2 linked regions of the Drosophila melanogaster genome follow. The protein of the gene in region 1 purifies or fractionates together with the protein of each later gene. This does not show direct contact. Each region holds a gene or a part of one and is shown on either strand. Other genes may lie near its edges. The genes, in order: unc79 and na.

Evidence for each region.
Region 2: the proteins of unc79 (region 1) and na purify together in Drosophila melanogaster (affinity purification with western blotting; one study listed by BioGRID). This does not show direct contact.

Annotation. Positions count from the first base shown.
Region 1 is NT_033777.3:19,242,972-19,248,149, reverse strand, and holds the start of unc79 (uncoordinated 79), read left to right. Parts: upstream 1-2,019; 5' UTR 2,020-2,112; intron 2,113-2,304; 5' UTR 2,305-2,358; coding exon 2,359-2,413; intron 2,414-2,478; coding exon 2,479-2,598; intron 2,599-2,734; coding exon 2,735-2,896; intron 2,897-2,949; coding exon 2,950-3,120; intron 3,121-3,185; coding exon 3,186-3,461; intron 3,462-3,521; coding exon 3,522-4,220; intron 4,221-4,271; coding exon 4,272-4,934; intron 4,935-4,990; coding exon 4,991-5,178. Other genes in the region: CG5217 (uncharacterized protein), read left to right, coding at 123-360, 472-881.
Region 2 is NC_004354.4:14,264,520-14,269,474, reverse strand, and holds the start of na (narrow abdomen), read right to left. Parts: upstream 3,109-4,955; 5' UTR 2,767-3,108; intron 1,869-2,766; 5' UTR 1,823-1,868; coding exon 572-1,822; intron 517-571; coding exon 404-516; intron 343-403; coding exon 232-342; intron 168-231; coding exon 24-167; intron 1-23. Other genes in the region: CG13404 (uncharacterized protein), read left to right, coding at 3,296-3,385, 3,446-3,686, 3,774-3,907; Tat (tyrosine aminotransferase), read right to left, coding at 4,737-4,955.

The sequences.
Region 1 (5,178 bases):
CTTTGCATCTGGTGTTCAATTCAACAACACCAGTCACATTAATCTTATATTTCGTACAAAACCGAGCCATATTTTATTGTAAATAAAATTCGATAAAATTTCGGTGGACATATTGGACGAAGATGTCCAGTCTGCAAGATATTCCGCTTGCCGACCCCGAGGGCCTGTCTGTGGAAGGTCCCGAGGTGGCCCCCGCTCCAAAGTCCAATTCCTTGAAGCGCTTCTTTAAGATCAGCAAGAAGCCAATGATGCGCGACCAAGTGGAGGATGACGACGAGACATCCTCCCAGGACAACAAGGACCTGGGAAAGTCAAACACTATAAGTCGCTTCTTTACCCGGATGAAGGGAGCCAATAAGGGTAAGCTCTTTTGACTGGTATTAAATATGATTTGTTGAAAAAAAAATGATTGCCTAATGACTTACAATTAAAAGGAGCTCTTCTTGAATAATCATAAACCCCACTTGCCAGATGTTCAAGATCCTTCGAGCTCGGTGGTCGAACCCGTGGAGCAGGATAAGCCGTTGCCGAATGCAAAGCCCACGATTAAGACATCCATTTCATCCTACTGGAAGATACTGTTCAACCGGCAGAAGAGCCAGCGCCAAAACGCAGCTTTAGGGCAGACCAATGCCAATAAAGAGGATAACGAGTCTGAAGAAGTCCATGAACTGCAACCAGTAAGCCAAGATCCCGATACCGATCCTCAGCCGACAGTCAAGGATGAGCACGATGAAATGGAACGTGGCACAGATCCGGAGCCACCCAACCCGAAGCCCAACAAAAGTGTTGCCAGCAAGGCATCCGGTCAGGAGATTGTCAGTGCCTTAGAGGGCGGCCAGCTGTCTACCAATGATCACGAGAATGCGGCTTCCATTTAGCCGTCTTCAACTAACACTAATCAAACCCGATGTCTAGTATCTCTACCGATCTCGAGGCAAAGGTTTAGAAATCAGTTAGGGAGCTGATTCAACCTTACACAATATATACTCTTCAAACACATCCCTGCTAACTGACATACATACAAGAACAAACATTTTCGCTTTGATTCCACAAATGATAATTCCGAGCTCACGAAATAAACACATACAAGACCCCAGTATGTTGTCATGTCATCCTTTGTGGTAAATCCATCCGTTTTTGTTCGTCTAAGGGGTCACAGAGTTCAGTTAAATCGGTTGTTAAAACGTCTTCACTGGGGGGTTTTGATTACCTAAACGAGTTTCATGTTTTGCGTTGCAAACAGTGGGGTTAAAAGGTGCCGCATGAGCCAGACAAGCCCGAGAATTATTTGAGGTTTTCACTTTCGAGGGAAGCCCTAAAGATGAGCCACCCCCAAAAGTTGGCTAACTAAATCACGTAATGAGTATTTAATTGTTGGAAGGTGTGCTATTAAGGAATAAGGGTGCAGAAAGTTTTATTTTAAACTTTATTTCAGTATCAGTATACCAGTGCAAATTTCTTGGCTCAGTTCCAAAGAGGTAGATATAGATATATCTCAAGAATGAGTAGTTTTCTTATCTCGTGTCAGTACTTTGGAAAATCTGAAACACACCAGTTGCATATCAGGATAAACAGCTGGGCGATGTTTACCAACATTGAGCACAATCTGCGCAAACTCCGGACCCGACTGAAAATAGTAAATATTTACATTGGCTAGACCAAAACAAGCACTTGTTGAAAGCCGACCGGTGAGTGCGGCAAATGCGAGATAAACACGCGATATGCGCATGTCCTACTTCCGAACAGCTGTTTCTGGGGGCTGCTGTCGAGGGTGGGTGGTAAAAGTGGGTCAACTTACCCTACAACTTCAATTCCCTCAAATTCCCTTACATTTAAGCCAAAAAATACTAAATCACATAGCCTATTTAATAATTAAATATATTTGAAATATATTCTAGCTTAAACCGCTTGATAAAGTGTATGTATAAGCCTGTATAAAAGCCAAATTGGTAAGGAGGGGGTCAAGGGGCGTCCAACAGATAGCGAAATTCTTGCACAGATACACACCATAAACTCAGTTTAGTTATAGAGATTTTTCTTCGTGGTCGTAGCTTGCTGTAAAACCCGTAAAAAATTGCAAATCTATTGAAAAAACTAACCAATTTCGAGGTAAGTTGACCAAAAATATTAACTTAAGTTCGTTTCGCAACCGGATTGTATGAAAATTCAGAGTTTTCTATGAAATTTCGTGCGCTTGAGCACTTTTTCACTGGCAGCATCTTTCTGGGCGATACATTACGCAATTCTGGGCGTGAAATGTTAAATGTTTTCAAAATGCAATCCTTTTTTGCCTAATTGCAGAATGCGAAGTCCCTCGGCAGCAGTTTCGGCAATGCGAAGGATTTGTCTGATATAATGACTGGCAGCTTTAAGGTGCAACTCATCAACATGGGCACTCGCGCTGCCGCCTGTAAGTTTGTCCACAGAAGTCTCAACTTTCTAGGGTGCTCAAAGGACCTTTTTTTCTGCTTTCAGTTCAGGCAAAACTGAGAGCCCTTCATGAATACCACGTTCGTCTACTGCACAACGTCTTGCCTGCGCCCTCTGGCGTCGATATTGCTAACAATATCAAATACTTTTCTCAAACTCTACTAAGTAAGTATCTATAGAGGTTAGAGTAACCTATGTAATTATCTCAGTCCCAACTCTTGATAGTATTATTACCTATTATTTTGGCCTTGTTAGCATTTTCTAAGCCACCAATTTATTGGAAATATCTTTAAATTTACAGCTGTCCTTAAGGATGTGCGCACTTCGCCGCACGAGCTTATCCGCGATCCTCTTGAAGATCCCACTCGCATGTCTGCCTATCCCAATCTCGAATATGGCAACCTCTACAATGCTCTTACAATGCTCATCGATGTGGCACCTTGCATCCAGTACGGCCAAATCGGTGAGCTTAAGACATCTTAATGCTCATAATATTCTAATTAATTTTATTTTCAGTGTTCGGAAAAGCTCTATTGCAGTGCCTAAGCTGCATCCTTCCCTTTCTGGACAAAGATCTTATCGATAATCTACCCTATCTTGTAAGCTCTACTATATCAGTACTACCACCAGCGTTGCACCAATGCATCATCAATGCTCTATGCTACTATATCTTGCCTTTTACTATAAGTGAGTAGTGACTACTTCCCTAGTTTAAAGAAACTATTTGATAATTTTTAATTTTCAATCTTTAGCTCGTCGCAGCTCCGACGAACAGGAATGTCAGGCCTGCCAATCAGTGTCCTCGGTCATCATGATGGTGCTCCAGTACTCCAACAATCCAGCGCATCATTGCCAGCTCCTGGAGTGCCTGATGACTCTTAAGCACAATGTCGTCAAGGACATCCTCTGCGTTGTGGCATACGGAACCGCTGTTTCCCGCACCTCGGCTGCCAAGCTGCTCTTCTACTACTGGCCAGCCTTTAACGCCAATCTGTTCGATCGCAAAGTCCTACTCTCCAAACTAACCAGTGAGTTTATTTCATATGATTACTCCTATTATCTTACCTCATCCTTCTAATCCCGAATAGATGACCTAGTGCCCTTCACCTGCCAACGGGAGCACTGTCCGAACTCCGGGAATGCGGAGGCAGCAAAGGTGTGCTACGACCACAGCATTAGCATCGCATACGCGCCCGATTGTCCACCGCCCCTTTACCTGTGCATCGAGTGCGCCAACGAGATTCATCGGGAGCACGGAAGCCTGGAGTTCGGCGACATTCTGCATCCCATGCAGCAGGTATCGATGGTGTGCGAAAACAAGAACTGTCGCTCCAACGAGAAGTCCGCCTTCTCCATCTGCTTCTCCACGGAGTGTGCCAGCTTCAATGGCAACCATCCGATCCGCTACTGCAGCCAGTGCCACAGTAATAGGCACAATTCCCGGCGAGGTGGCGATCACGTGGTCCATCGCAGTCTGCAGCCCGCCTGGCAGATGGATCCAGAGATGCAGATGCACATGGTGGAGTCGGTGGTAAGCCTTCTGCGAGAGGCGAAGCCACTAAACTTTGAGCCCGGCAAGGAGTCCTCGTCGTCCGAGTCCAAAAAGAACGGCTCCGGCATCACAGCTGACAATATTTCTCTGGAGGAACGCCAGAGACTGGGACGCTATGGTATCTGGCTACTGGTGGGTCGCTGTACACCCACTGCAGATACTCCCGTAGAAGTTCTGGGCAGGATTCTGAGCATGCTCTTCCACTGGTTTCATGTAACCGCTTACTCATACGATGGTATGTTAAGATGAATTATTTTTACCATCAACCATCAACATTTGTTTTCAGCTGCCGGACAAGTGGAAAGTACCATTGAGAAGCTCAAAGTGGATCACGTTTGCAACTGGCTGAAAGACATCTGCCGCATACACTACAACGTTTTCATATCCTGCCTGCTGCCACATCCCCCGGAGTATGCCCGTGTTGGAGGCCACTGGGAGACCTTGGCGTCGCGAACAAGCCACTTGAAAGAGGGTCTTCAGCGGCTTATATGCCTGGTGCCATATGAGGTTATCACTTCCGAAATTTGGGACTATGTGATGCCGCACTGGATGGAGGCCATCACCAACGACGTGGCCGAGAAGGAACTGAACGAGCTGAAGATTGTGCTCAGCAAGATCCTCGATCCGGAAATGTCGCCTCTGGGCTTTGATGCCAAAACCATGTACAACTTTGTGGCCATTCGATTTGAGAAGACAACGGCAAAGGTGCAGCAGCAGGCACTCCACTGGCTGCAGATCCTCACCAAGCTGGAGATTCTCATTCCACTGGTCCAGTTGTTCGCCATGTTCGGCGATGGTGTTCGCATAATGAAATACGGCATCCAGCACGAGCTGATGCGCGAGAAGGATGCCCAATCTCAGTCCCTGGCCAAGGCTCCCAAGACCCCGTGTAAAGAGAGCAAGGAGACCAAAGCGGATATGGCCAATCCGCCCAGGCGTAGCTCTATTTGTGAATATGCCTTCCACTAACATTTTATCACTAAGTATAATACATTCTTTCAATAGCTCCTGTTGTCGAGGATGACTCTGGTAATACGTCTGCCATTTCGGATGACGAGGCGCCCACGAATCGTCACACGGAATTCTCCACGGATGCTGAGCACAATCTCACCTGTTGCATCCTCATGCTGGACATACTTCTGAAGCAAATGGAACTACAGGACGTGGAGCAGCACATGGGCATCCATACGAGT
Region 2 (4,955 bases), on another chromosome or scaffold:
CATTTGAATTTCTGTTAACTTACGGTCTTTTGTATAGATCGTACTCCGTATTATTCATTACACAATGGTTTTTTAGTTCGCCAAAGAACTGAACTCCTAGCAAACCATATAGGGACATGAAGAACAGGAAGAACAGTGTCACATTGTAAATTTGCTGGCTCGAACGTCTGTAAATCAAAGTTGATGATATAGTATAGCTGATGATGTTGTTAAAGTTTACAAGATACATACTTGAAGATTTGATTAATACGACTTTTTGGCATACTGAATTTAAGGAAGACGCGTAGGAAGCGGATCATGATCAAGGGTCTTGGTGCTCTCATAATGGATAAATAGGAAAACCTATATATTATATATTATATTGTTAGAATCGAATTATTATAACTATGGGGCGTCCACTTACTTTGGTACTATCTCCAGCACTTCGAAGATTTGCAGAATGATCGAAATCCACAGGAAGCTGACCATGGAAGCATCGAATTGGCACCAGTGATCTTTTAAATAAGGCACCTCACCCTGCAAAAGAGTATCGATGAAGTAGATGGCATTTCTCTCAGTGCACCAGACTCACATGCAACACGCCACGGATGTGCATCTTGGCGATCATCTCGGCGGTGAAGAGCAGCGTAACAGCCGTGTCCGATGCAAAGGTGATGAACTGCAGCGACGGATAACGCTCGAAGGTCTTGGGCGTGTTCAGTGATACGGAGGTCAGTGAGACGAGGGCACACAGTCGCATTAGGCGGCGCACCCACAGCTTGTTCACCCACTCGATGTCGGCGCTCTCGTTGAGCGATTCCTCCGGTCCGTAATCCGCGAGGAAAGGTTCGCCGCCCTTGAGGCTCTGCTTCCGGCCCAGCATGATCTTGTTGCCAATTCCGGTGGCAATGCCCAGCCCAATGGGCGGCACTCCGGTGATGGCTGCACTGCCCACGGTGCTGCTAATGCCGCCACATATGCCCATGCCGGCGGCAGCTGCTCCGCCGCCCATGCCACCCATGCCGCCCAGTCCGCCGAGCAGATTGAGACCACCTCCGCCGCCACCAACGACCGGTCCCAGCCCGGCACCATTGTTGTGGCCACCGCCCGAAGATGGAGCCGCCGTCGCCGATGAGCCACCGCCTCCTCCGCCGGCCAACGACTGCTGCTGCTGTTGCGGCTGCATTCCGAAGGCGACGCTGCTGCCGCCGCCGCTGCCGCTACCGGAGTTCACAATGGTCGTCGGACTGTTGAGCGCACTGGCCGCATCCTGGCGAGCGCCCAGTCCCAGTCCGTTGCCAGGACTGCTACCCGGCGATGGATTGAAGCTAAACTGGCTGGCGGACGCCGGCTGCGAGTGTCGCAGGTGTGGATACGAATGCGGATGCCCGTGCGGATGTGGATGCGGATGGTGCGAGTGCGGCGGCGCGTGATGATGCGTATGCTGCTGATGGTGTGCGTAGTGATGCCCGTGATGGGACTGATGGTGTGGATGCTGCTGCTGTTGCTGCTGCTGCGGCGTCAAGCTGTTGCCGCTGGAGGAACTGGTGCTGGCCGTCGCCGGCGTGTTGATGCCGCTCGTGGAATACGGATGCGAATGGTGGTGGTGCTGGTGGTGGCCACCACTGCCGCTGGATCCGCTGGCCGCTGTTGCTGACGCTCCAGTGATCGGTCCTGTTCCCGCCGCTCCAGCCGCTCCCGGTACCGCCCCTGCTCCTCCTCCTCCTCCTCCTCCGCCGGCGCCGCCGCTGCCTACTGCTCCGCCTCCAGCTCCGCCTCCGCCTCCTGCGCGTTTGTTTCTAGCAGCTGCACCCAAGCGACGAATCTGTAGGCGGTCAATCATTCAAGCGGCGCATCCTGACCCTGAAACGGTCGCTAAGTTATGCCTGCTGTGTGGAGAGGGGGCATATTAGTTAGTTACTTGACTAGATCAGTTAGAAGTAAACTTAACCGCCAAACTGCTGTCATATTTCAACATTACTAAGATTATTCTTAAGTTTTGAAGGGTAAATATATTGAATTATAAATTACATGTACAATATATATTATGTTTCATGTTCTCTACGTATTAGTATTTAGCACCTCCATGTTTCCAAGGATGCCCTCCACCAACTAGGCGGCAATTAGAGCCAAGACCTTTGTCAATATTTACATTCGAACAGCTGCCAAGGTGGGCTGAAGGTGCAGCACTCAAACCCACTCACACAGGCACTGAGTGCACTGCGTAAAAAAAATATTTAAAATAGCTCAAAGTGTTATATTATAAAGTAATAAAATATATATGCAAATGAATCAATCAATAGACAGACATTTCAATTCATTAGTTGCATATCCTGTGATATGTAATTTATAATCTTTAGCCTGTTTTACCCAATTTTTCAAATCCACAGGCCAAGTTTATTGATCTGCTTTTGTTTTGAGTGTATCGTTTGCATCAACTTTTTGTATAGGAATTTCAACAAAGATCTTCGAGAGCAACCAAAATTTGTTTCTGTGTGAATCAAGACAGTCAGCTCGGATGGCGGATGGCACTTGCAACCCCCGAATGAGCAACCACTTCTCGCCGTATATGCGTAGATATGTGTACTATACGACCCAGTCCCATCCCCACTGGCGAATCCATTGTCATTACCAAAGGAGCAGTAACCAAAAGCAGCCATGCCCACTCCAATTCAAAGCGAATTCAGTGGGCAAAACTCAAATCAGTACGATTTGTGTAAAGGTATTTTGCCTTTTTTTTTACCTTGTCTCTTTAACTAACACATTATCTACACATAGCCTACTCACTTTTCGCCTGATGGAGCGGCTGCTGGTGGATGGTTAACTTTTGATGGCGAAGATTCGCGCAATTTTTATCACAGAGTCCACATAAATGGATTGCACTGGGGAGACTATTGAAATCTAAGAATATATCCGGTTGCCGCACTTTCCGGTTTTCCAAATCTGTGCGGGAAGGAAAACGCGTTTTTTTTTCTTTCAACACCAAACACGCGCCGAGGTCCTCGTAAAAGAGTCCTTTTTCTTTGTTTTTTTTTTTTTTCTTGTATGTTTTTTTTTCGGACGCGGAGACTTGGAGTTACGGCCACTCAGTCTGTTTAGTCAGGCAGTGCTCCAGTCAGCCAACTGAACTGACAGCTCCACTGGGCCGTCACTTTGAATGGCTCTGGTTCCAAGTCGAGCAACCCCCAAAAATGGACGACGCCTGCGCACTTTCGCGGGTCGATTCGGTTACCAGTGTCGGAGTGGCAACTCCGCGCGGAGTGGCCAACAAGCGACCACGGCGATTTCAACAAATCCGAGCAGCAATCGCATCGAAATGGGTGCCACGGCCTCGTGCAAGAAAACCTCCGGCAGTGGCTATCCGGAGCACGATGATCCCAGCTATCGCAAGTGCCAGGAGCTCAAGGTGAGTCCACCGCTTTATATAATCCCCAAAACCCCGCATGACCAAAGCGACCGCACTCAGATGGAGCGCTGGATCCAGATGCACTACCAGATCAAGCAGCGGGAACAGGCACTGGCCATTGCCCACCATCGGGAGCTCTTCTACTGGCTGAGCGGATTCTACCTGAGTGCTGTGTACGGCTGCGCCAGTTACTACCAGAGGGTCAGGAGGGTATCCGCGCTGGCTCCGCTCCTGCCGCTCACCTTCGTCGTGGGTTACTATACGGACTGGGCGTACGGCAGCAAGATGCATCGCATTCAAGGTGGGTCTGGGATAGGATTGTTTGATTAAGTGCCATTAGAAGGATGATATCTTATACAAACCTATCCGATGATTACATCAATTGTAGCGGAGGCGAACATGATTATGGAACACGAGCAGGAGCTGCTCCACTGGCCAGGTGGTCTGCCCACTGTTGCCGGAATCGATGAGGCCCGCGTGGAGACCGAAATGGAGAAGAAAATGCATCCGCACCACATGTAGAGGCAAAAGGATGCCCCTCTCCCGGTTAGCCTGTAGGTGGGATTGGGTTCTCGTGCTCAGGTCCTCGTTCAAAAACACACACACACTCCACAATCAACAGGATTTGTCCCAGAGTTTCAGAAATTTGTAAGACCCCTTAGCTAGAATTTAATATATATTTTTTTTTTTTTGGCATTAACAGTGCTGTTGAATGCTGAAATGTGGGGACCATTCAATTACACTTCACAACACTCAACAGCATTCTAATTACGTTTCACAGCCCATTAAGCAACATTTTAAAATTTCTTACAACGAATATACATACAAATATCATTCATTACACACATCTAAATCCAATTTATGCGAAAATGTTCAGCATTTTTAAATTGAAATCACACGTTAGATAAAGGCTGCCAGAAAATTTATTTGAAACTAATAGAAATAATTGTAACTAGCAAGAAGGCATCATCATATCATATCCTGTTCCAAAGGAGCACTACTTTCACCAAGTTTAACATTTTTTGCACAGAACCCCAGCCAGCCTACAGCGCCAGATAGCTCAAATATAGGCCTATATATATATATATAAATTTATATTATATATATTTATATTCAGAAGTCCTCCATAATGACCATTTACTTAGCCGCAGTTTACTCGCTCTTTCTAAACTCTATCTATCTGTGTGTGACGCGCTTTACTTTTCCAGCAATTTTTTGAGACAATACTCCTTATATTGGATAGTTAAAATGATTGATATATATATATATATAGTATATATACATACATACACTTATGTACACTTGATAAAAATTGTAGTCTAGAATATCTAATAAATGTTTTGCTCCCAGCTCAAAAGGCCACATCATCGCAGTCGAGCAGTCCGTGCTCAATGAAATTGCGCGACTCCTTTTTGTAGTGGCGATCGCAGAACTCGGCAATCCTGGAGCACGCCTCCTCGATCATTGCCCCGGGCACAGTAAGTACGATCCGCACGTATCCCGGGTACTCAAAGCAGCTGCCCGGCAGACAGAAGACACTCTGCTCATTCACCATCTCCTGGACAAAGTG